Lepisosteus oculatus: one gene and its partners. The protein of the gene in region 1 purifies or fractionates together with the protein of each later gene. This does not show direct contact. Links are inferred from orthologs where the notes say so. Each region holds a gene or a part of one and is shown in the gene's direction. Other genes may lie near its edges.

The links.
Region 2: the proteins of hspa12a (region 1) and epb41l3a purify together in Homo sapiens (affinity purification with mass spectrometry; 4 studies listed by BioGRID and IntAct, with this or other methods). This does not show direct contact. The link is inferred for Lepisosteus oculatus from reciprocal best matches to the Homo sapiens genes HSPA12A and EPB41L3.
Region 3: the proteins of hspa12a (region 1) and akap12b purify together in Homo sapiens (affinity purification with mass spectrometry; 3 studies listed by BioGRID and IntAct, with this or other methods). This does not show direct contact. The link is inferred for Lepisosteus oculatus from reciprocal best matches to the Homo sapiens genes HSPA12A and AKAP12.

Annotation. Positions count from the first base shown.
Region 1 is NC_090699.1:32,062,410-32,070,504, reverse strand, and holds the start of hspa12a (heat shock 70 kDa protein 12A), read left to right. Parts: upstream 1-5,028; 5' UTR 5,029-5,748; coding exon 5,749-5,788; intron 5,789-8,095. UniProt on the Homo sapiens protein: Adapter protein for SORL1, but not SORT1. Delays SORL1 internalization and affects SORL1 subcellular localization.
Region 2 is NC_090701.1:55,495,410-55,503,100, reverse strand, and holds the start of epb41l3a (band 4.1-like protein 3a), read left to right. Parts: upstream 1-4,585; 5' UTR 4,586-4,703; intron 4,704-5,464; exon of another isoform or gene 5,465-5,653; intron 5,654-7,691. UniProt on the Homo sapiens protein: Tumor suppressor that inhibits cell proliferation and promotes apoptosis. Modulates the activity of protein arginine N-methyltransferases, including PRMT3 and PRMT5.
Region 3 is NC_090697.1:48,385,855-48,393,197, forward strand, and holds the start of akap12b (A-kinase anchor protein 12b), read left to right. Parts: upstream 1-4,293; 5' UTR 4,294-4,469; coding exon 4,470-4,583; intron 4,584-7,343. UniProt on the Homo sapiens protein: Anchoring protein that mediates the subcellular compartmentation of protein kinase A (PKA) and protein kinase C (PKC).

The DNA of each region.
Region 1 (8,095 bases):
AGCGCCCACTAGCTGCAGAGGGCGTGACACTAATGACCTGTGAACAACATCTCTTGGTTTCTTTATGTACAATTTGCAGGATAACATCAGCCTCTTCTATGCTCATATTATTTCTTATAGAACTCTGTCTTTCCTCAGCCTAAGGAATGTTATTGATTTCTTCCTTGATGAACACATAAGCGAAATATTCAATTAGTAATTTCCTTTTAATCTTTTGAAGATTATCATTTTCAAATCTAAGCACCTTACTTGATCCTTACTTTTCATTAGCTCTTGTAATGCTGAAAAAATATTATTTTATAATATAATATATAATTTATAATTATAATATAATTATTTTTTATATCTTTTAGCTTTGGAATTTGGCTCTTCTTTAACTTGATCCTGATATTTTGTACTCATTTTATATGGTGATTTCTCTTTCTGGATATTTTTCTTTAATATATTTAAACAGTTACTGATTTCATGTATATCCTATCTCATTTTAGTTTTTTTTTACCAGCATAGTCTGCTTTTCTTGTATCTAAAATGTATTTCAAAATCTTATGAATGCAGTTCCTAAATGGTTCTCTCTGTTTTGTTTTCTTTATTTAGTGTTGATTGTAAGTAAAAATGTCCAATTAGACTTAACATTAATGTCTGGCTTGTGTGGTTTGTAGCATACTCCTCACATTATTCTTTTTGAAAGGTTTTCTTTGTGAACCTGTATAGATTCTGATTCTCTGGATTCATCTGTGTTAACTTAATGTGCCTGAATGCTCATTTTTAAGTATAGTCTACATCAACATTTCTTTTATCATAACACTAATGATTTGTCACCACTTGCTATTAGCCATGTTTCATAGACTCCAGTTACAGCACACTGTGAATCCAGCATCTTCTGTTTCCTGTATTGTTTTCATACTACTCCTGGCATTTAGCTATAAGCATTAAATTACCTGGCCATTTATTTTATGCTTGGGTTTTGTTTTTGACTGTGCTCTGTGTTTATCTCTTTTCCATATTTTCTTAGGATAACGCTTCTCTTCTTCACTAATGTTTTTGAAACCATGTCATGTCTGTACAGATGACCTCTGCCATTGAAAGCTTTCCTTCTTCACCATGTCCTCAGCAATGTGATGTACAGTATTCACGCCCATTCTTCACCTTTCTGGGAAAAATACAGACTTAGAGCAGCTCTTCGGTGATTTCTAATTTCTTTGAATGTTTTGCATATGTAAAGAGTGCTGTTTATGTTCAAATCCCTTGTCCCAACACAAACAGCATCAATTGTGTATTCACTTGTATTTGCTACTGTTGCTATTCCCTTGTATTTGTCCAGTGTCCTCTGGACAATGTTAGCCACTTCAGTTGCAGGGAAACACACTCTGTGGTTGACTCAAGATCCTTTATGATATATTAGTTAAAGTGTTCCTGAGAACAGCATCACCACAAACCACCACCTCTTAGTTTGCATTTTTGGCAGCACTGGCATTCTCTGAAATAGTGACTAGTAAATGAACTATGATGGTGGTAGGAGTCTCTAAATTATAATTAAAGTTACTGTATTTCATTCCTTGCTTGTTACAAATCCATTAAGTGTTTCAAAAAAGATGACTCTCTTGTTTCATTTAATTTGCTATAAATACTACTAAGATATTGCTACAAAGACTTAATTTGCCAAAGTGTTTATATGGATCACACAGCTTTTGAACTTCAAATGTCAAATTTGACATCCATTTTAATTGCCACATACACTCAAAACTTTTTTTTCCTCCAAAACACAACATTGCTTTGGAGCACGTTGTATGTTAAGTTAAAAAAGATATAAAGCAGCATTCCATAAAACATACTTCTCTTGTTTACCAAATATAACAAATATATATCACAAATAGACATTTGATTGTTGTTATTGAAAAAAAGATTGCTTTTGTCCTTCTAGAAGCTTATTTCCATGCTTATTCGTTCCACGTGTGAAGCTGCTCAGCATTTAAATAAAAAAAATGACTGCTATTATGTAAATGTTTTTAGTCTTATTTCAGGACCAGAATTTGTAAAAGAGTGGTCAAGCAGGAATTGGAGCAAGACAGCTGGGTAGGAAACTGGTTTGACCAGATGCATTTTGTCATTCTAGATAGAAAGATATATACTTTTTAGTGTTTAGAAACTTCAAAGAGAACTTAAAGGTGTTATTGCTGTCACAGACTTTGAAAACTAATTATAGAACTATGTATGACATGCAAGAATATAAGGCATGTCTTTGGGAGAGGTTAGACAATTTTTCAAGGTCGTCATCCCTCCTCTAGCGGGTGCTCCTACCTTTCTTGTTGTGTTCCCAGTTGTATTTGTCCTAGCTGTGTCTTATACCCTTTTCCCTATTTAACCCTGGCGTCTCCATAGTTCTACACAGATGTAAAATATCAGCTTCTGTGCTACCTAAACTCTCTACATTTCAGGATGCCCCTAACACACCCAGGGTTCAGCATGCCAAGAACAGTGACAGACACCCTAGTACACACTTCTAACCTGGTGATATGCAGACTCTAGGTTACTTGTTGTGGCGTGGGAGACAGCATTCTCAAGTAGGTCATACACAGATCACCAATTTCTAAAGACTGGGAACAACAAATTGTGTCTAGTGCCAGGTTACACCATATCCGAACTCCAAAGTAAACTGTAAACTGTAGATCAAGTCATTGGGTAACCTAGAGAACAGCTGGATGTCATAAGTAAACCCATTCCCATACAACATACACTTCAAAATCCCACACCAAACTGTCAGGCAATTGTGGAGCTGGGTCATTTAGAAGTGGCAGCCCACAATACATTAGTTTGAGAAAATTGGAACTGAACTGGCAGCTGTTTTTAGTCAGCTTTTGTTGTTGATTCATTTTGTTTAGTGAAAATAAGAAAAATAAAATTGAAAAGTTTTACATTCCGGTTAAAATTCACAAAATGAAATACTGTTTCCTTTTTCATTAGTTTTTGAAAACAACAACTTTAACTTTCAAAAGAAACTGAAAAGTAATGATGCTGTTCTCATCTTCTGCTATGGAGGACAAGTGATAGGGATGTGACTGAGTCCTACTCCTGATATATTAGATGGTCCTCTTGGACTGCTATATGTTTAGCCTGCTATTTTGTTACCTTAATTGGGCATTTTCCACTGAGGTGTCCACCTAATTGTTCCTTGGGTGGGCACTTGGAGGTGCACCCCTCCAAGGAAGGAGTGTTAGCACACCGCATGTGTCCAGGGATGGTCAGCATCAAATTTCTATTTCTAGCTCATGACAGCTGACCCCTTAAGCCATTGCAATGTCCAGTCTGTCTCCTATCCTTCTGTATGATATTCAAATGAATGTGTGCGGGCAGTTTTCAGATATATTATTATCCATATTATCCATACATTTTCTAACTGTTTTATCCAATTCAGAGCTGCAGCTGAGCCAGAGCCTATCCCAGCAAGCAATGGGTGCCAGGCAGGGTACACCCTAGATGGGACACTTGTCTAGTGCAGGACACTCATCGACAAAAACACGCACTCACACCAGGGCCAGTTTTCCTGGAGGTCAATTAACCCTCCAGCATCTCTTTGGACTGTGGGAAATCCACGCAAACATAGGAAGAACCTGCAAACTCCCTGATTCTCATTCATTTGTGCTCTTCTTCATAGTGCACCAAATCATCAATATTTGTAATCATCCCATCTGGACACAGTATTTTTCAGCTACCTACATTAAGAGAATCAAAGACACAAAATCTTCTCATCTGATATATAGTACATGCTGTCAGGCTGATTTCCTATTTGACATGAACTGTATATATAGAATGGTTGTAAAAAAGCTTTGACAACTGAAATAATTGTGATACGGACCTCAGCAATGCCTCCCAGTAATGGTTGTGAACAAGAGCTGTTGTGCAACAAAGTGGCAAACCTCTAGTTACATACAGTACTATACATGTCAAGCAATTTGGCCAGAGTTGATTTAGTTTAGCATGGCCACTGAAGAGTTTTGTGCCTTAAGGAAGGAATGACAAGTTTGTGTCCGTGAGGGGTGCTATTCGATATAACACTGACTGACTGAAAGATGCAGTCTAGATTCAAACCAGTATGATCCAGGTTGCAAAACTCTTCTTCTATTCCGGCCAAAGGCTTTTACCTGATAAATAGAGTATCAAGGACATTGTTATCAAGTCAAGTATTAGTGACAGTTTAACAGTACAGTGTACAACCATCGACAAATATTATTGAATAAATTAGTCATTATTGTGTTAAGTTCACTTTTATTATATTAAGTGAAAGTAGGAACCCAGTTATACCACTGACGTTTATGCATAACTATATAATTCTAGAATTAAATAGTATTCACTTTATATTCATTTACAAAGCAGGAATATGTTTTCAAATCAACAAGAATGGAGGACTAACAGTACTAGCAGTGCTAGTATATATTGTACTATAGTTCAGGTGGGTAGCTGCGTCAGCATGTGTAGGCTGCAAGGAACAAGTAATAGATTTATTCCATGCTTTCTTCTCTTTTCAGCATGGAATAAACATATTACTTGTTCCTATGTTATACTCTATGTTATGGATAATGTAAACTACCGCCACAAAAGGTGGTCACTGCCTATGGTCCTATGTTCTGTGTATTTCATTCAACCATGTGCCCAGCTATAAAAAGCCCAATCCATGTATTGGTCAGACTTAAGACATAACGACAGCATATACTTACATCCTCATGATCATGCATTATAGTGATAAAGTTCAGTGTAACTCAGCTCAAATATTTGAGGCATTTGTTAAGTCCCATTTTAGCCAACCTCCTTACTCTTTCATACTTTAGCTCTGAACCACAGAAAATTGACATTGACAAATACAACTGACAGTCACTTCCAGACTGGTTGCTTAAAACTTCCCAAGTGTTCATGCGACACTCTGCGGGAAGGAAAGGATGATTAGAATGCAAGAATCCCACCCACCACTCACACACATTCAGACAGTGAGAGAAAAAACCAAAACACCCAAAATGAAAAAGAAAGGCTGGAATCGTTCTAGCAGTTAGCGTTCTACCTATACGGAGCAAAAGGCAAAACAAGTGCACATACTGTAAATGTAGGCTATCTGGTGCACGCACATCCGCAGTCCCCTTGAATACACTACACTGCAACGGCATTGCTCAAAAGCTCATAGCATCAATTACAGTTCTTCGTCCGTGCTTATCGAACACTCTGTTCTAATTACAGCATGAATGGCTAATAAACTTGTTTTCGCAGCGGTTGACTAGCTTATGTTTTGGCAATGGGAGAAGGGAGTACGAAATAGTGCTACTCCACAAATCACAAATGCATCCCTTCAGCTTTCAGGTTGCAGTACTGCGGAATGGGAAGTATTTCCTTGCCTGGGAGCCGTAGTGAAGAGTGAGGGGAGGGGCTCCACGGAAGAACTGGCAATCAGAAACCAGCAATCGCTTCGGTCTTCTTTTTGCGGTATCTTCCACATTCAACAAGAGGCATTTCGCTGTTTCACGGGTCAGTCTGGGCTTCTTTTAATGTGAAATTTGCCTCGCCATCCGTGGGAAGGCACTTAGGAGCAAGGGGGGAGAAGAGAGAACGGAGGGGAAAGAGCCCCTGCAGCGAAGCATAAAAGTAGGCTTTTATCACCCAACGCTACAGGCTGCAAAGTGAGCAAGAACGTTTTTCTTCCCCTCTAAGACTAAATGGTTTAATTCTTTTGGGGTGTCTTCAAAGAAAGATCAAACAGCGGGTACAATGACTGAGAGAGAATCGGCGACAGACACCGGAACTGCAGGTAAAAACTATTCTATTTATGATTCAGACCTGTAAAGCTATGCTGTAGTACTGCGAGGAGGGCCAGTGATGAGATGGATAGGCGTGCACATCTGCAATAGCCCAAATGGTCTTCAAGACTGCATTTTTGTGTTTTATCCCCATTTTTTCTTTCCTCCTTCCCTAGATTCTGAAAGTAGGTTAGGTAATGTATTGCGAATCCCATGTTAACCGAGAGGAACGATGTACTAACTACAAGCTTGTGCAGTATGTTGTGATTTCAAGCTTTGACAGACCACTTTGAAGGCTTGAAGTTGGAAACGTTCAAACCCGATTATGCATTTTATGTGCTCCTTTAAGGGTTTTGATGAGCCTTTTATTGACGGAATGCTAATATGGCCACACATGCACTGCTCAAAACCTATTACTCAATGCTGGGAAAATTTAATTGGCGAACTTGGCGGTGGGTACTTTCCATAATTCCGTGATTCTGTTCCAAAAACCTGAAAACACAATTTTTACCAAGTAATACGGATTAAAGTGAATTATTGTTATTAGAACTACGTGAGTGGCTAAATCTGGACAATGGATATTTAAGGTAAAAACGAGAAAAAAACGTGGTCCCTTTCCATAAACAGGGATAAAATCTAAAGGTTAAGAAAAATCACATTTGAGTTTTGACTTCCAACATCCATGGCGGTGCGGAATGGAGTCACATGGCCGGTCCCTAGGGGATTCAGATTCAATGCAGCAAAACTGCATGCGCTGCTCCCTGCCAGGTAAAACAATACTGCGGCTTGGATGTTTCACCCATTTGTCTTTTTCTTCTGTGATTACTTCTACCACCAACTCGGCAGGGATGTTTTGACACAGTTTCTACATTTAATAGTGTTTTTGTTGTACCGCAATGACAGGATTCCTTTCACTCTGCTGTGGTTATTCCTGTTGCTCTAAGGATGGTTTCTGTGGCATACAGTACTGTAGCTGATGCCCTCCCCTGTTAAGGAGAGAGAAAAGTTATGAGATGCTTAGATGAACATGTTTTTGCATTGGCAGTGTTGTAGATGAGATTTGCAATAGCTTACAAGGGAGTGTTCCTGCAGGAGTTTTAGGAAAGAAAAGGCACTGTCTGCCCTTCAAAAGGACAGAGCAATAGACTGTCTGACATCAGCATGCATGACACTTGGGAGTGGTCCTTACATCCCATTCAAATCTCTTTTACTGATAAACTAAACTGAATTATAATAGTGCAGCACACAAACCCAGACTAAGCTTTTGCATGGACAGGCATTGCTACATGGTAAAAGTAATACAAGCCTGCAGTATTTTTGTGCAATTCATGCCTTTGAAACAGTTTCCACATTGCCAGAATTTTCAATTTGGTGTTTTCCATATCTGTTGAAAATATCTTCATGCTTTCAGGTTCTCAAAGAAAGAATTGCCTCACTAGTTGTCAGATTTCTAAGCTGTCACTTGTTATCCCCCTGCAGTGAAGCTACAGAAACAGATCAAGTAGTATGCTGTAATGCGTTCTCACCAATCCATTACTGCTGCAGTTGCCTGGGATGAATGATGGATGATGGGGTAGAATAAATAGTCTGTCAAGTATGGGTGGATTAACACATTTATTTGTTATAACTGTGATTGAAGAAGTGTGTGTTCCATCATGGGCAAGTCCATTTGACTGCTGATACAGGCCTTTTCTCTCTGTATATCACCAATCTATTTTATTTGCCTGTGGGGTAATGCAACACACATGTATGAGGCAGGGCCTAAGGAAATAGTAAATAATCTGCTATTCTAAATGTATTTCCAATTTATATAAATGTTTGTATAAGCCAAACATGAGATGAGTGAAGAAGCCGTGTTGCCAGCAGTTTTGTTTTAGGCCTTTATTTCTGTGTCTGCAGTGTTCTTGAGGATCTCTGTTATTGGTGTTACCTGTGTACTAAATGTTGCTTTACTGCGTAAAACTAATTAATATTGAAATTAAAATGGGCAAGATGTCTAATTGATATGCTTATTCGTGGAGATTGACCAAAAAATTGAAAAGTTTAAAGGAGTTTTTATTGATTTGAAAATCAAGTTTGCCTCACAAATCTTGGATCCTGTGTTTGATTATAACATGGTGTGTCTTATGTCTGGCGTTCTCCCTGTATGCTTGAGGGATTTCTGTATTGCTGTGGTTTTCATTAACCAGTTGGTCAATGGGTGTGTGTGAACTGTGCCCAATTTATAATAGTGTCATGCAAGACACTATTAACCTGCCCAGGATGTAGTCCTTCTATGTGCCCCATTTTCTTGGGATAGACTCTGTGTAGCCAGTTAC
Region 2 (7,691 bases), on another chromosome or scaffold:
TTGAAACATCTCCAGTACATGGTGATACTAATGCTGACAGTGGGGAAAATGTTACTCATATGCTCATTTTTCAATATAGCATTTGACAGCTATACATAGTTGTTAGTTTTTAAAGTACTTTTGAGAACACTTAAGGTTGCAGTTGTATACTAATTCTGAATTAACTTTTGATTTTCCTTTTCTTCCATTGATTATTTTTTGTCTGCCTTGCTTTCCGTGCTAAACATTGCGAAATTCACTCAGATGTGTTCTTTTTCTTATAAGAAAGGGTGTAAATGGATGCAAATCCTACAAATGTACACAAGCTGGTAAAATTAGAAAACTGGTACGAAAATATGTTTTCTGATATGTACAGTTGTATAATAATAGTCAAAATGATCCTTACAATTTGATTTTTTACACTTTTCTGGATAATCCCCTCAAAATCGCTTTACAGATAATGAGGACTCTCCTCCACCACCTGGAAGATGTGACGGCAGTCAAAGTGCACCAGTACACTCATCACACACCAGCTCTCGGTGGGGAGGAGAACAGAGTGATGAAGTTTATTGATCAAAGGGGATTATTAGGAGGGCATGATTGGTATAGGCTGGGGGGCAATTTGGGCTGGACAGGGGGGTAACACCCCTAATCTTTTTGAGAAATGTCCTGGTTTTCAATGACCACGGAGAGTCAGGACCTCGGTTTTACATCTCATCCGAAGGACGGTACCTTTTTACAGTAACACCTCTTCAAGCAGCAGCCTTAGTTTCTCCCAGGAGGTCTCCCCTCCAGGTACTGACCAGGCTCACACCTGCTGAGCTCCTGTGGGCTGCCAGCTGTGAGTTGCAGGGTGATTATAGCTGTTCGAAAAACAATTGAACATTTTATGTTAACACATTTTTTAACCCTTATTTTGACAACTTTTAAACAAATGTTTTCCAGCCTTTCCCCTAATTTGTAGAGAATGTTTTTAATATGGCATAAATGATACTAGTGCCGAAATTGTCACGTTGTCACCATCTTACTGTAATTGCCTATGAGAGGAACAAACCTACTTTTCTGAATTGCACCAACTTAGAGCAAATGAATCTCTTATACTGAAGTATGCTCCAAGCATTAAGAATGTTGGGACCTTCCAAACCAGATGGATTTTGCTAAGACCTCGATTTGTAATGTGGTGATTTTTTTGTGGGTCTTTTTAGGGACCGCAGCAGCTGACTCATAGCTTTAACATCTGAAAGAGCAGGTCAGCTCTTTGAGCTCCAAACCAAATATTTTAATGTTTTTCTGTTTTTTTGAGAAATTAAAAAAGAAAATCAATTAACGTCCTCCATTTCATTTCTTCACTTCAGGATCCCAGTGACATTTGCTACATTGTGGCAGTAACGGCTTGTTTCGTTGGTGCTGGTTTTGAATCGTTTAAAAACATGAAGCTTCATTACACTTTTTCTGCATGACTTAAATAAACACTCAATAAGAATTTTAATGATCATTTTCCCTAGATGATTCCAATGTGGGCAGCTATTGAAATGATCTGACTACCCCTGAAAGCTGTGTATTAGTCATTTTCAAAGTCACTTTATTTCCAGAGTGAGTTATTTGTCCTAGATTTGATTCCAGACCAGGGCACTATCTGTACTGCGTTTTCCACGTGCCTGTGTGATTTTTATTTTTTTTTAGGTGCTCTGGTTTCTTTGCTCTTTCCTAAAACATGCTGCCTTACTGTAAGTGTTGTCTCTACACTTTCCCTGTGCACACGCAAGTTTGCCCTGCTGTGGGCTGGTGCTCTGTCCTGGAGCAGTCCTGCCTTATGCCACCTCTGAGAAGTTCCCCTCCTCCAGACACCATGGTGTTTCTGCTGGGCAGCTTGTTTTATTTTTCCTTACCAAGGGATAGGCACTTTTCTGGTATGGAATGGGTGTGAACTGATCTAAAGAGTATGATGGGGGGGCAAAACAAGCAAGTTTGGTAAACCTATAGCAGTTTTTCAGATTGCTTAACGTGCATCTTAAACTGAGCATGGATCTTTATAGCTTACACCCCTGTGTAAGGAAAAGTGCCCCTGTTCTGTTGTAAACGCACTTCCCTTCAGTTGTCACTTTTCGCCCCCGGTTCATGATTCAGTGTTGATTCTGAAGATGTCCAGCTGGTTGACTTTGTCATCGACTTCAATTACTTTAATCATTTTCAGTACTTGAATTGGACCCCTTGTGATCTTTGTTCAAGACTAAAAAGGTTCAGTTCTTATAGCCCGAGGAAGACATTCTTTTGTGATCAGAAATGTACATGTACTGTATGGGGCATCACTCCTCTGGACTGATTTCAGAATAGCAGTGTGTTGCAGAGTTTCTGGTGTAAAATAAAATTATCGTGGTGATTTCAGTCTTCTGCTTCCTCCAGAATGTTCCAGCCCCCTGAAGGAGAGGAGCAGTATTTTATTGTAATACAATGGCACTTGTCTGGGCTGTGTGGGTCAGGACCTCAGAGGTCCGCCTAAGAATGTGGTTTGAATCCAGAAGTATATGGTGTTATCCATAGAGATAATGTGTGCATTTTTCTTGCTATTAAATTACCCATACTTCCCCTTGGTTTAAAAAAATGTTTAGTTTAGGAGATACACAAGTCTTTCTTATAGTGCTTTAACATAGAAACCTTCAAGAGCAACTTTTTTTCTTCCTTAAAAAGTCATTTAAGGATATTTCTGTTTTGCACTGTAGTTTACAGAGTGCTACAGAACATGATTTGTACTTGCATAGGGAGTAATTACTGGTTTTAAGTGACCGCACAAGAGTAAGAAGGATACCAGCACTGAGTGCAACACTGAAGTCCATAATGCAGGCTTTCTTGATGAACACCATCCACCCAATATCACTGTAAAAGCTTTGCTGGGAAGGCAGGATGGCTGTGAATGACTTACTGTACAGTATATATTGAAGTGCATTTTATTTTGCCTCCAACACATGCTCAGACTTAACCTTGAAGTTACCCTCTTGTTGAGGGTCACAGTAGCGAACACCAGGTCTGAAAAAGCATAGCAATCTGTCGTCGTGTGGCGTGTGTGATCTGGACCACAGCTGGCAGCTTGTGTAGCACCTGTAATGTCTCACCAGTAAATAAAAGTTCTCAGGTGCCTTCTAACCCCTATCGCCATGGTCATGGTTCTGGAAGATGGTACCTCAGCAGGTGTGGTTGTGTGGTGTGCTTGAGCACTCGATGCATAAAATATCACAGTACATGTGCTTCTCAAGACGGGGCCATAAAGACGTGTTCTACCTGGAATGGACTGCTGGCTTTCGGACTGGGATTTGGTCATCTTGTCCTCATGATGGCCTGTCCACACTGTGTGACTGTAGCAGGTGCTGCAGTGGAAGACGAGGGTGTCACTTTCATGTCATTCCCTAGCTTTCTCGAGTATTTGAATGATCTCCACTGTAGGGGTGTAGGCCTTTTGGTACTGGATGTAGCATTTATCTTGGCTGTGTAGGTCAGGCACTTGAAAGTACGTGAGACAGCAGCTAGGATTTGGGATTCAACCCCACACACTACATTAATGCCATGCCTTGGACCTGTGGATAGGCAAGAGCCTATCAGTTTCTAAGCTTGCTGCGGGTTTTGGCGAGAGGGAGTTTGACAGGTCCTGCTGTGTAAGATGAGGCTGTCATAGTGATGTCGCAGTCATGGTGTTCACATAATTTCACTGTAACAGGCCCCCTGTACTCTATGAACCCTGTTATACACACAAAAAAATCTCACATTATATTTAATGAATTCTTAATGATGCCTAATTATTTATAAATTGAATACAATGTAATGCATGCAGGATAATGGAAAAAATGCAAGTAGAATGTACTGTATGCTGCGATACTGAATACATGGTATGGTTCGTCAAGACTCAGAACCCAGAAAGGAATTTTTGTCAGTTAAGCAGCTCTTTGCCTTTGCCAGGGTTCATTTAGAATTTGTGAAGACTAAATGTGTGCAATTAGTTACAAGAGTTTAATTATACATGAATGAACACTGCAGCTGGCGGGTGCTGTTAAAATAACATATGTCCTTTTAACCCATCGTGGCCAGGAACACAGTGCAGGAAACTGACCCAGGGACACTTTTTTCAAAAGCTGTTAAAGCTTATTAAGCGAATTTAAATTCAAACGTTCAGCGTGTTCCAAAATATATACCTTTGCTGCCCTGAATTACAAAAAAAGGACTCCGAAAATCTGTTCAAGAACATCTTTATTTTTGAAAGAAGATCATGTCCAATTTCAGACGTTCAGTTCTCGGAAATTTCACCAAAAAAAAAAACCCGAGTTAAACTGCTTATTTGGCCCAGCAAGATAATTCTGCTCGGGAGAAGTGGGCATCCCAAGTTCCACTCGAGACCGTCTACGTGTATTTTCAGTCGAACGGGGTTTGCTCTGCTTCGGCGCCGTGTTCGTTTTGGGGTGACTTCGGTGGCCATCCCTCGCCCCGCTAGGTCCTGCAACACGCGTGTGGGTCGCCCGTACCGGCCGTGACTCATCCCGGAGGTGGGCTCTCATTCGCTCCCGCATCTTCTGCTAGAATAAGCGGAGGGTGCGCTGGCTGTCCTCGTGTATCCCAGAATGCCGCGCTGTCCCGTATCTCCTGCTCAGCCCGCTGGCGCTGGCGGTGACACAGCTGGCGAGCAGAGAGCGGACTGAGCTGCAGCCTCATCAGCCGAGCGGGGGGACACGGGATACCCGGTAAAAAGCTAGCAACTTATCGTATGCAAAAAAAAAAGGGGGATCTGCGGGCTCACGTTGTGTTGCATCGAAAGTGTCAAAGCGAAAACGAGAATTTTTGTAGCTGTGTTTGCAGGAATGAGGTAGGGAAGGGGGCACACTGTACATTTCCTGGGCATGCATCGCCCTGATACTGTATACAGTATGCGCGTCCTGTTTTTTTTTCTCCCCACAAAATAAATCTCTTCGGGCAAATCAGTGCGATTCCTTTTAGATGTGCCAGATTGTGTGTGTGTGTGTTTGCGTGTGCGTTTTTTTTTGTGTGTGCCTGCGTTAACGTCTACGGTGGCTATTTAAATACATCCGTGCACTCGAGGTTGTCGCCGCAGGAAGAAAAATCTGTGGTTGATACTTTGATACATTTAGAAGCTGTGAAGTAGCTGCAGGGAATTCATTTTGCGGAAAAAAGAGACTCCGGTCACTGAGTTTATTTCAATGCGGAGCACTTGAAAAAGTTTTTCTTGTATCCGTTAGGAAAAAAAAATGAAGACGATGTTTTAGCTAATAACGGCAAGGGTTTATAGCTCGTTTGCTCGCTTCAGTATTTTAGTGGCTGAAGTACGCGAGTCGCCGCCTCGGATGTCCAGTGCGACTCTCCTGCTTTCGGTCACTTCAGACCTGACACGACACCCCAGCGGTGCTCTGTGTGTTAGTTCTGCAATGCGGTGGGTGTGGTTTGGATGTAGTAACCGGGAGATGTGAACCTCTGCAGTCACAGCACACTCCACCGCCCCCCCGTCTGACTTGGCATTTTTTGCATCAAACAGAAATACACACCTATATTCTCTGTACGTGTGTGAAAAACGCTCAGTCGTGACAGCCCGTGACCCCCCCACGGCCACTAATACTCCATGCTACCAGTGTACGGTGAAAAAACAAGGGAGCAGTCTGGACGAAATAGCCGGTTATTGGTAAGTCTCCGGGAAACCAGATGGTTTTCATCAAATGAGGGGAAAATCGGCGGAGAGACGGGCGATATTGTAAGTCGCGCTTTGATTAATTTTCCAGCCTCGGCAATACAGTATACTCGTTTGCTTTGATGGAAATGGTTTTTCTGTGTGTTACTCAGCGTTTCACGTAACTAACCTTGGTGTTGCGATTTTATACGGACTTTTTTGTGACTTTTTAACATGCACATTCAAAATCCCTACTGGTTGCTTTGGAAGAATTTTTATTAATTGTATTGCATCGATAACTATTTCATCCTCTTAATTTTTCTAACGCTGGAGTGGATTGCTTGGAAACTAGCGATCAATTACCCGAGATGTGTTTTTTTTTTTAATGAAGGGGAGACTAGAAAAGTGTTAACCTTCAACTGCTAAGTACAGAATATATACAGTGCATTCTGATTTTACTGCAATGATGAGCCTGGCTTCAGGTTAAGAAGGTGAAGTACCTCCTACAACGCAAACCAGAGCGAATAGAGGTCTTCTTTCTGCGAAGTCATTCACAAAACATTTAAATTTTTTGGTTAATGTTTTGTGCAAAAAAAAAAATCGACACGCTTGAACCCAGAAGTTATCTTTACGCCGGAAGCAATGCTGCATTCGATAAAGGAGATGAAATATTTTAAAGTGTTTCTTGTTGTGGATGTCTCTCTTATCTAAGCAGCAAGGGTCTCTTGATCCTGAGGGTCTGGCTAATATTTGTCCTCCTGACAGCTTGCCATTTTGACTTATGGTTTTCCTCCTTTCTTCTCGGGCCCACCCTGAGGCTCGGCAGAAACAACGTGAACTCGCACGTCTGCTCACTAATGACCGTAGACTGTGCCACTGGGCACGGTGGCTGTTCTCCCATGTACTGTCAATTATAAAACATTTCAACTCATCTGAAGTAAGTGGCCATCATAACTACATACGGTGTTGCTAGTGGTCCTCCTCCCGAGAAATGAAGCTATGCCTGTTATATTTATCACAGAGAGAAAGGTCTGAGTGTATTCATCAAATGTACTTTTACAGCACCTAAGCAGGCTGACAGAATGCCCCTGACAAATGTGTTCACAAGGGAGACAAAAACGGCATTAAAAATTAACGGGGCCAGTCTGTGTTGCTGTGGAATTAGATCAAAGACCTTATCTGATTTTTTTTTTCCAGGTATACAGGAAAGAAAAAAATCCAATATCCGGATGGACTTTTATCTTTATAGAAAAAGCCGTAGCGTACTATTAACATGTAATATTAATATCCCATTTTTTTTCCTTTTACTTCGGTTCGTCTAAAAAAAAAATAATTTCCATATCAAGTCCTGCTAAATTGACTATTCTGTAGACCTGCCTATAAATAAATAGGTATTTCAGATCTGTAAGAAATGTTCTACTCATTTACTTAGTATTTCAGGTCTCACCTATTTTTAAGTGCTGCTGTGTTTATTTTCCGTTATAATACGTTTCATTTTGACCTAAATGCTGATGTCACATGGCGGGTATTTCCACAGTCCTTGAACGCTGTGGCAACACAGATGAGAGTAAGTAGTCGAAGGGATAGGGAGAAAAAAAATGAAAAGGCTGAGATCATTAACGAAGAGGGGAATTGCACGGTCAGTTTATTTTTTGGTTTCTTAATCGTTTGCCTTGAACAGATGAAAATGTAAAATGTTCTAAGAATGGGGAAGCTGGAATTTCTGGTGCTTCCCATAGTGCAAAGCTTATAATACAGACTGTAGCACACAGCAAGTCTGGCAAGTCACCGTCACAGACAAGCTTACCGTAGGTGTCAACAAGAATGGGGAAGGTACCTGACTTAATGGACTATTCTGGAATCAGCTCTTAAAAAGGTTCAAATCATCTGCTTTAGATTAAATCAAGATTAAAACATTGTAATTTTAGATCTTATTAGCTAAAGAACACAATTATTTCTAACCAAATATAAGCTAGCACAGCTCTGTTTTTAATTATATTTGTGGCGTATTACAGGATGCTCTCAATAAATCCTGATATAAGAAGGCTGAGTT
Region 3 (7,343 bases), on another chromosome or scaffold:
CAAGACACGGCCTGCCAAGAGAATGACTACAGCCATTACCCTGAATTTCTATTTAACACTTTTAAGTAAAACCATATGAGAAACAAACATGTTTTCATTTTACATAACCACAGAACAGGGTTTTTCAATACTTTTAACAGAGCATGAAACCATAAGTGAGAGATTTTGGCAGTCCTGGTTCGAGAAATAAAACTCTCTTTCCAGTGACATATTTCTGTAAAACAGTCAAAACATGAGAAAAAGTATTATTACTATTATTATTGTTGTTGTTGTTGTTGTTGTTGTTTCTATAGACACACAAAATTAATGCTTTTTGAAGGAACTCTATTTCTTCTGAGTATATGGTATGACAGAGCACCACTTCAGAGTTCATGACATAAAAATCTGGGTCAGCCATTTCTTTTTCCAGCTTAAGTGTTTGCCAGTATAGTGAGCAGATTACTGTCAGTCAGTTCTAAAATGTTTATGCTGATTCTCCTGCGTTGGCCGAACCTGGAATTCCAACATTGAATACTGGTGACAAGAACTCCAAGGGAAATATAGTTAATAAGATAGAGGTTGTACACCTGACTCTTGTTATGAATACCTTCTTTACCCAAATAATGAATCATTTTTCTTCTGTAACCATTTTTGTTCGATTTTTTTTGTTAAACCATTCTAATGTTATATACTCCTGATCTGTACATTTCTATTTGCTTTCAAAGCACTGGGTGCAGTTATGGCGTGGACAGTTGATACTGTGTGTCTGTCCTTCAAATGTGTTTTGTAAGCAAATATTCCTCTGCATTAGATGAAGCCAGCCAGCAGAAGCCGATTGCCAGTGCACTAATCTAAAGGAGTTATTGTCTTAATTAAGGTAAAAATGTTCCTTGGCCCTTTCTCAACAGGGGTCACTATTGCCTATTGAGATAGAGTTCAACTGTTGAATTTCGTCTCTAGAAGAAAAAGATGAAAACTTTTCATTTGCCTTAGATTTTATTCCAAGATCCTGTGCAGCAGAGAACAAAGATTGAAATCGATTTCTTCCTACACCACAATTTATTTAAAGCCCCATGACACTGAATTGAGGTAAAACACAGAGAAGCCACTTTGTTCATTGTAATTGATAATTATGTAAGAGCAGATCCACTAACTTCTTTTCCGCAGTAAAAGAATCTGAATGAAGCAACAGTCATGTGCTTGTACAGAACTTTCATTTCTTTCATAATTTAATTCTGGATCCTCTGTTTTTTCTCTTTTCTGACTTACTGTTGGACAGTTCCGTAATTGGAATTACAGTACTACATTATGTGTCTCTTCACCTAACAATATGTATCAATCTGATTTTGAAATAATAGAATGTTTGTTAGGATGGTACACAGGGGACAAGAAATGAAAAAAATTCTAAATCCAATTTCTTCAAGCTGTTTTGCTGTTCACCAGTAGCATCGAATAGATGAAACAATGACACCTTTGATTGCAGAGGGGAATCCTGCAGTCAAGTGATGTGCCATGTGCAACTCTCCATAACATTTTGCTTTATCTTTTCTAAACCCTTATATTGGAAGAGGAGTCCATGATAATTTAAGACGTAGATATTCTGCTTAACACTGGTTCTGAAACTTCTGTGAAAAGCGTTTCACAATCATTGAAATTTCTCAAGGAATGAGCTGCTGTCTGGTATTTGAGTCATATACCTAATCGTTGACACTAAAAGTCTCAATTTCCCATCTTTCTCATTGTTAGCTGTATTATTATTTCATTGACAGATTTATTAATTGGGCTTCTTGAATGAACTATCATAGATCTGTGGCAGAACATACTGTTGAAGGAATTGTTTCAGAAAAGGGGATTTCTTCTAATATAAAATACAACTCTCAGCTATGTTAACTTACACAAAATATCCAAGACTTAAAAGGATTTATAAGAATTGGTAATTGTGGTAGTAACACACCATTCTGATCTACTTTAAAAGTAAAAAAATTCAATAATAAAGAAATCAGCTTAAGTATTGTAGCGGCTTAACAGGTTTGTACTTTGTTGGTGCATATTTACAAAAAAAGAAAGAGTTCAAGCTTTGTTGTTTATTCAGTTTGAGCACAAAACAATATACATTACATTAAGTACTGTAGTTCAAAGAACCACAGATGAATGTAAACAACACCTACAAGTAAAAATATGTGTCAAAGAATGTTGATACTATAACATAGTGTGGCCAATTTAGGTATCATAAGAGAGATGCCATCTTCGCTGTCATTTTTTTATGTACTTTCTTTAACCCTCATGTTTTAACATTACACCTTTGAACTTGGAGTTCAGACATTTTATTCTGTACTCCAGTGCTCCTGTTGAACATGTGCTCTGGGTCTGAAGCCAGATCTCTGTTTCAAGACAGCCATTTTCTGATGAACTCCAGAGCATCGTTTCTGTTTGACATTTTTCTGGAAATGAGTTTGAGATCATTATCGTCATAGAGTAGAGGACAAAATCTGCTTTTTATCTTATTGTCAGATGCAGTAGCATGGTGAAATAAAGATGTGGTACATCTAATTCTATGAAAATGACCACAGACATTTGTAAACACTGTATGTAACCCAGACTCTGTCAGAACTTCTTCCATGTATGTGTGTTGTTTAAGTCTCTTTTTTTCTGCATCTCCTATATGTGGTAGAGTCATTGGGAAGGTTCTTTTTGTGTTAAGCACCAGCTGAGTTCTTAATCACAAGCTAATTGGTTTCAGTTTTCTATTTGGGGCATATTTGTAAACTTGTTTAAACTCTAAAAGGATCAAATGGGATTTATCATTGGTATCAATCCTGTACCAACGTCTGAGTAACAGAACTGCCTTTATTAATGTGTGTTGCCTGCAATGTAACCAGTTGACCTCAGCTGAAGGAAAAAAATAAGTATCTGATACAGTGTCATTTCCACCTGTGCCTGTCCATCATAAACTGATCAATGAATAAGAGATGTTTGAAGCTGCTCAGGTACCATAAAAGCAATATCTGCTACACCTGAGCCAAATAGACTACTAATTGGCCTCGACTCATCTTACCTCAACAGTAAATTAATAATACAAAAAAAAGTATAGCCAGCGACTTTATGCAAACTTATTCGTATTTGTTGTACATTTCACAATATCACAATCTATTTTTTACTTAAATAATGACACGTAATCAGATGTTTGTTGTCTTGCCACCACTACTTTGTTGTGATCCAGAGGGTCTGTGCAAAGTAGGGCTATGGGAAACAATTTATTTTTTGCGACGAATAATTTAAAGATGCGGTTTCCCAATGTTATAAAACTGTTAATATCATGATGAGATAATCAGCTAATAATAATGCGAAAATCTTGTGCTCAGTCTACTTGTTGATTAGGCTACTTAAAGTTTCAGAACAATTTAAAAATTCCGTTCTGGATTAAAGTGTCCGGTTTTTCTGGCCACCCCATTATGACCACTTTATTCAGACTACAGTGTGTTGTTGTATTTAAAAGAGGGAGATAAACGAGAAAATTAGAACACTGAACTTTAGCTGCAGATTTGGATAATTTGATGTCGTCTGCTTCAAATGATCAAAAAAAACTCTTGAATAAACTCTTAAATAAAACACTGCGTTTTTAAGTCTTGCAAGTTATATTAATTATAATGCAAGTATTATTAATAATAATTACGGTATTTCCTCTAAGTGTTCTGCTTTCAAATTGTATCCACATTATACACCACTAAATTAAAAATAATATTTATTACTGTTGTTTTTAAGTGAGGGGAAAAACGCCAATCTACACAAAATGTAATTGAAGATGTCCGAGAGAGGTGGTAGAGCTCATATCCCGCAATGAGCGCGGTGCTGATACAGGAATTTTTTCACTGCAGTGCCTGATGTAGAAGGGGAGTTCATGTAAATGTGTGCTTGACCTTTTTACATTTCATGATCTTCCACCTCCGAAACAGATTAAGAGTTTTTTTTATTATTATTATTTATCAGTGGCGTTTTCTCCCTTTACGTCTGTACGTTTAAATGCTGCAGGGGAGACTATTCTACCAATCCTGCCGCTGCAGGATCTTGATTTGGAAAAGGAATAATAAGAAGTTTGTTTATTAAGGCGACAGAGCTCATATTTGATCAGGTCCATTTAAATGTTTTCAAATAAGGACGCTTTCGGTCCTCCCTTGCCTGGTGATGTTGGGAAGTGAACTATGAGCGTTTGCTCGGTATTCAGTGCAAGGGTACCAGCCACCTTCCCAGGACATTTTTTTTCTTTTTAATCTGATGCTGCAAGGCGTGCCTCGCTCCTGTGCATGTGATATAGCGAAGGGGAGGCGGTTTTCTAAAAGAGTTTGCAGGGATCCTGATTGCATCACTTGAGAGCCTGACGACCCAGGAGGGGTTTGCAGTTAGCATTGGGTTGCTGGATATCTGGTCGTTGTCGCCACTGTGCTTAATTGTTCTCGGGCGGACAAGAAAAGAAGAAGGGTCTGGTTTTCACCATGGGAGCAGCCACCTCTGCAGAGCATGCGGACAAGAGTCAAGAAGCTACAGCTGGTGAGCCGCAGAATGCGGAGGTGAATGAAATCCAGGAGGGACAGGGTGCTGAAGCCAAGGTAAAATGTTGCATCCTATGTGTCGCAACAGATTTCTCGCTAAAGTCCGATTTCTTCCAGGACTTTGATCTTGCAGGCCAGCATTCGTGTGACAATAACGATGTTTCCTGAAGGAAACATAAGGGGGCACCAATTGGGGAAGTAATAATTGGTAGAGGAGTTGAACCGAAAAGTGTCTTAATCCAGTGCTTCCTATACTTTATTTCCCTTGGCCTCTCTTAAAACGTTTAGACAAACGCATTTATTTCTCAGACGGTTGGGCTTTTTATACATTGACTTCCCAGTATGTATTCCTTCCAGATTCAGTTTTGCTGTTGGTTTGAGAGAAAAGGCTATTTTATACAGTGCGTTTTAAGTGCAGTTGTGCGCTGCTATGTAATGAAATACTGAGACTGCAGTTGCGCCTCCGCAGTAATAAAAACGCTGAACTAGTATCCTGTTTGATTTATGGTCCTATGCCTTGGATCCAGTGGCCGGAGAATACAGAGCTGTTCTGGCTCAAATAAGAATTTTGTATAATAAACGTCGCATTCATCTTTATTGTGTATTCTGTATTTTTATTTTATATATTTATACAAATTTGTTTGAACTGTAAGTCAAATCTGATGTTGTTTTAAGACCTTCTGAAGAATGTTAGTGGTTTTTCTTTGTATCTTAAGAAGTAAGGAGGAATATTTTCTGAAAATGATTATTTACTTTAGAAAATGTCCTGCAGCGCAAGTTGCGATGGGATTCTTAAGAAGGTTTGTAGCAGACAGTATATTTATAGGACTCTGTGCAGTGCGGTGCGTTAGTTATTTGTAATTACCAAAAGAAACGTCCTATTCTCTGAGTGGAGATTCTGTGCATCGTCCTCTTCACTTCCTCTAAGTACTTATTAGGAGAACGCTGCCGTTTTGTTCTGGCTGCTGACGTAGTGCAACTGGGACGTGACCAGTCGTGGTCTGATGTCAAGCTTCTCTAATATATAGAGATGTTTTGACTGTTTTTCCATCGATGATTAACGATAGGAAAATGCTGTCACACTCCATTCCTGCTAAGTAGTTGTGTATCAACAGTATTTTCATGCTGTACCTTTTGGTTTTTAATGAATAAGTAAATGCCCTCTACAACTCCCTTTACTTAACTTCAATTTATGAATTTACAGTGCTTTCCTGGGACTTCTGGAGTTACTTGGGACAGTGAAAAAATAATGTATCTGTGGCTTGATCCAGTAAATACCACTGGATAGACAAGGCCTTATTAAGGGTTTGACATCTTGATCATGTAGTTCCTCTACTCTCCACGAAATAGGAGCAGATTAAAGAATATAGTTTTAAAGGTATCTCATTATCATTATCATTATCTCAGGTATCTTAATGTATTTAGCTATTTTTACCTTAGCACATCTAAAAACAGTTAACCAATCAGTTCTCATTTTTTTGAAGTTCAGATGTTTCATGTTTGCTTCCTTTTCAGTATAACTTGTACAGTTATTTGTTTATGGGCTAATTTATTAAGATACCTATGTTTACCATTTACAGCACAATGAAGTTGCTGATAGCCTCATGCAGTACTGAGCTGGCAAGTTCAGAGCATCAATGCATCAGCTCCAAAACGTAATGGAGTACTCTCTAGTCTTCAGTGGTAAGATACAGTGGTGCTCCCTCATCGTTATATGAGAGAGAACAGTTTCATTGTGCACATTACTGCAACTATTCCAACTCATCGTGAATGTCTCCTGAAGTTTGGCAATGAGAATGTTCTCATGTTTGCTCCATTGCATTCGCTGTATCTAATTATCTGTTGCGTTACATGCCATAAAGGTCATTCCCAATTCCTACTGGTAACTTAAGACTGCAGTCCTTGAAAATTATAACACCTTTCTGGAAGATTTCCTTGTACTTTTTCTCACTGTGTTAGAGAATACAGAGATGCAACTATGTTACAACTTATGTTAACGTACATTCCAGGCTACAAGCTACTTAATTTCAGATCTCATTCTCGATGACTTCATCCCTCTATTAGACCAAATTTAAATAGCAAATTTTTTCTCACATGCTTTTTTAGACACACACATCAGCTTTTTTAGACACACACATCAACACAAAAGTCAATTAAATTCGTAGTATTAAACATTCAGACAGGATTAGATTAATAGATTAAGAGCATTTTAAGGCAATTTTATAGGTAGATTCCCAGTCTCTGTCTACCCCTAAAAGTTTGGAAAACAGACTTCAAAATTCTTCCATACTCACTACAGCTTGGAACCTGTGTTACAGCATTAAACTGCCCAGTCTACAAACTTGACCACATTAAAAATGTCATGCTAAAAGAGTGATGTGGATGCCAGCTGTCAATATGCTGCATCAATTAAACAATATCTGTACTGGAGTTGTCATAAAAACACAGAGCACTCTATTATGTCTTTCATTTCTATGTTCTCAATCAATGTTAGGGAAAGTTGATTTAAAAATTAAACAATTACAGTAACAAGTTACTTGTGTAATGGATTACTTTTTTTAATTAACAAGAGGACTTTTTATAGATACAGATATGTATATATTGTGTGTAATTAATTCATGTAATGTAAATGTAACTGTAAATATTCACTGCATTTCTTGTAAAATATTCCCTTACACATAAATTCTAAATAAATTGTAACTGTAGTGGGTAACTTTTACCTTGTCTGGACACCTTCAAAACACAAACTTCACTGAGAGTATCTTTGTTGGAGAGATACTTTTGACAGAAACAAGCTTCACAGTGTGTTTGTGCAGA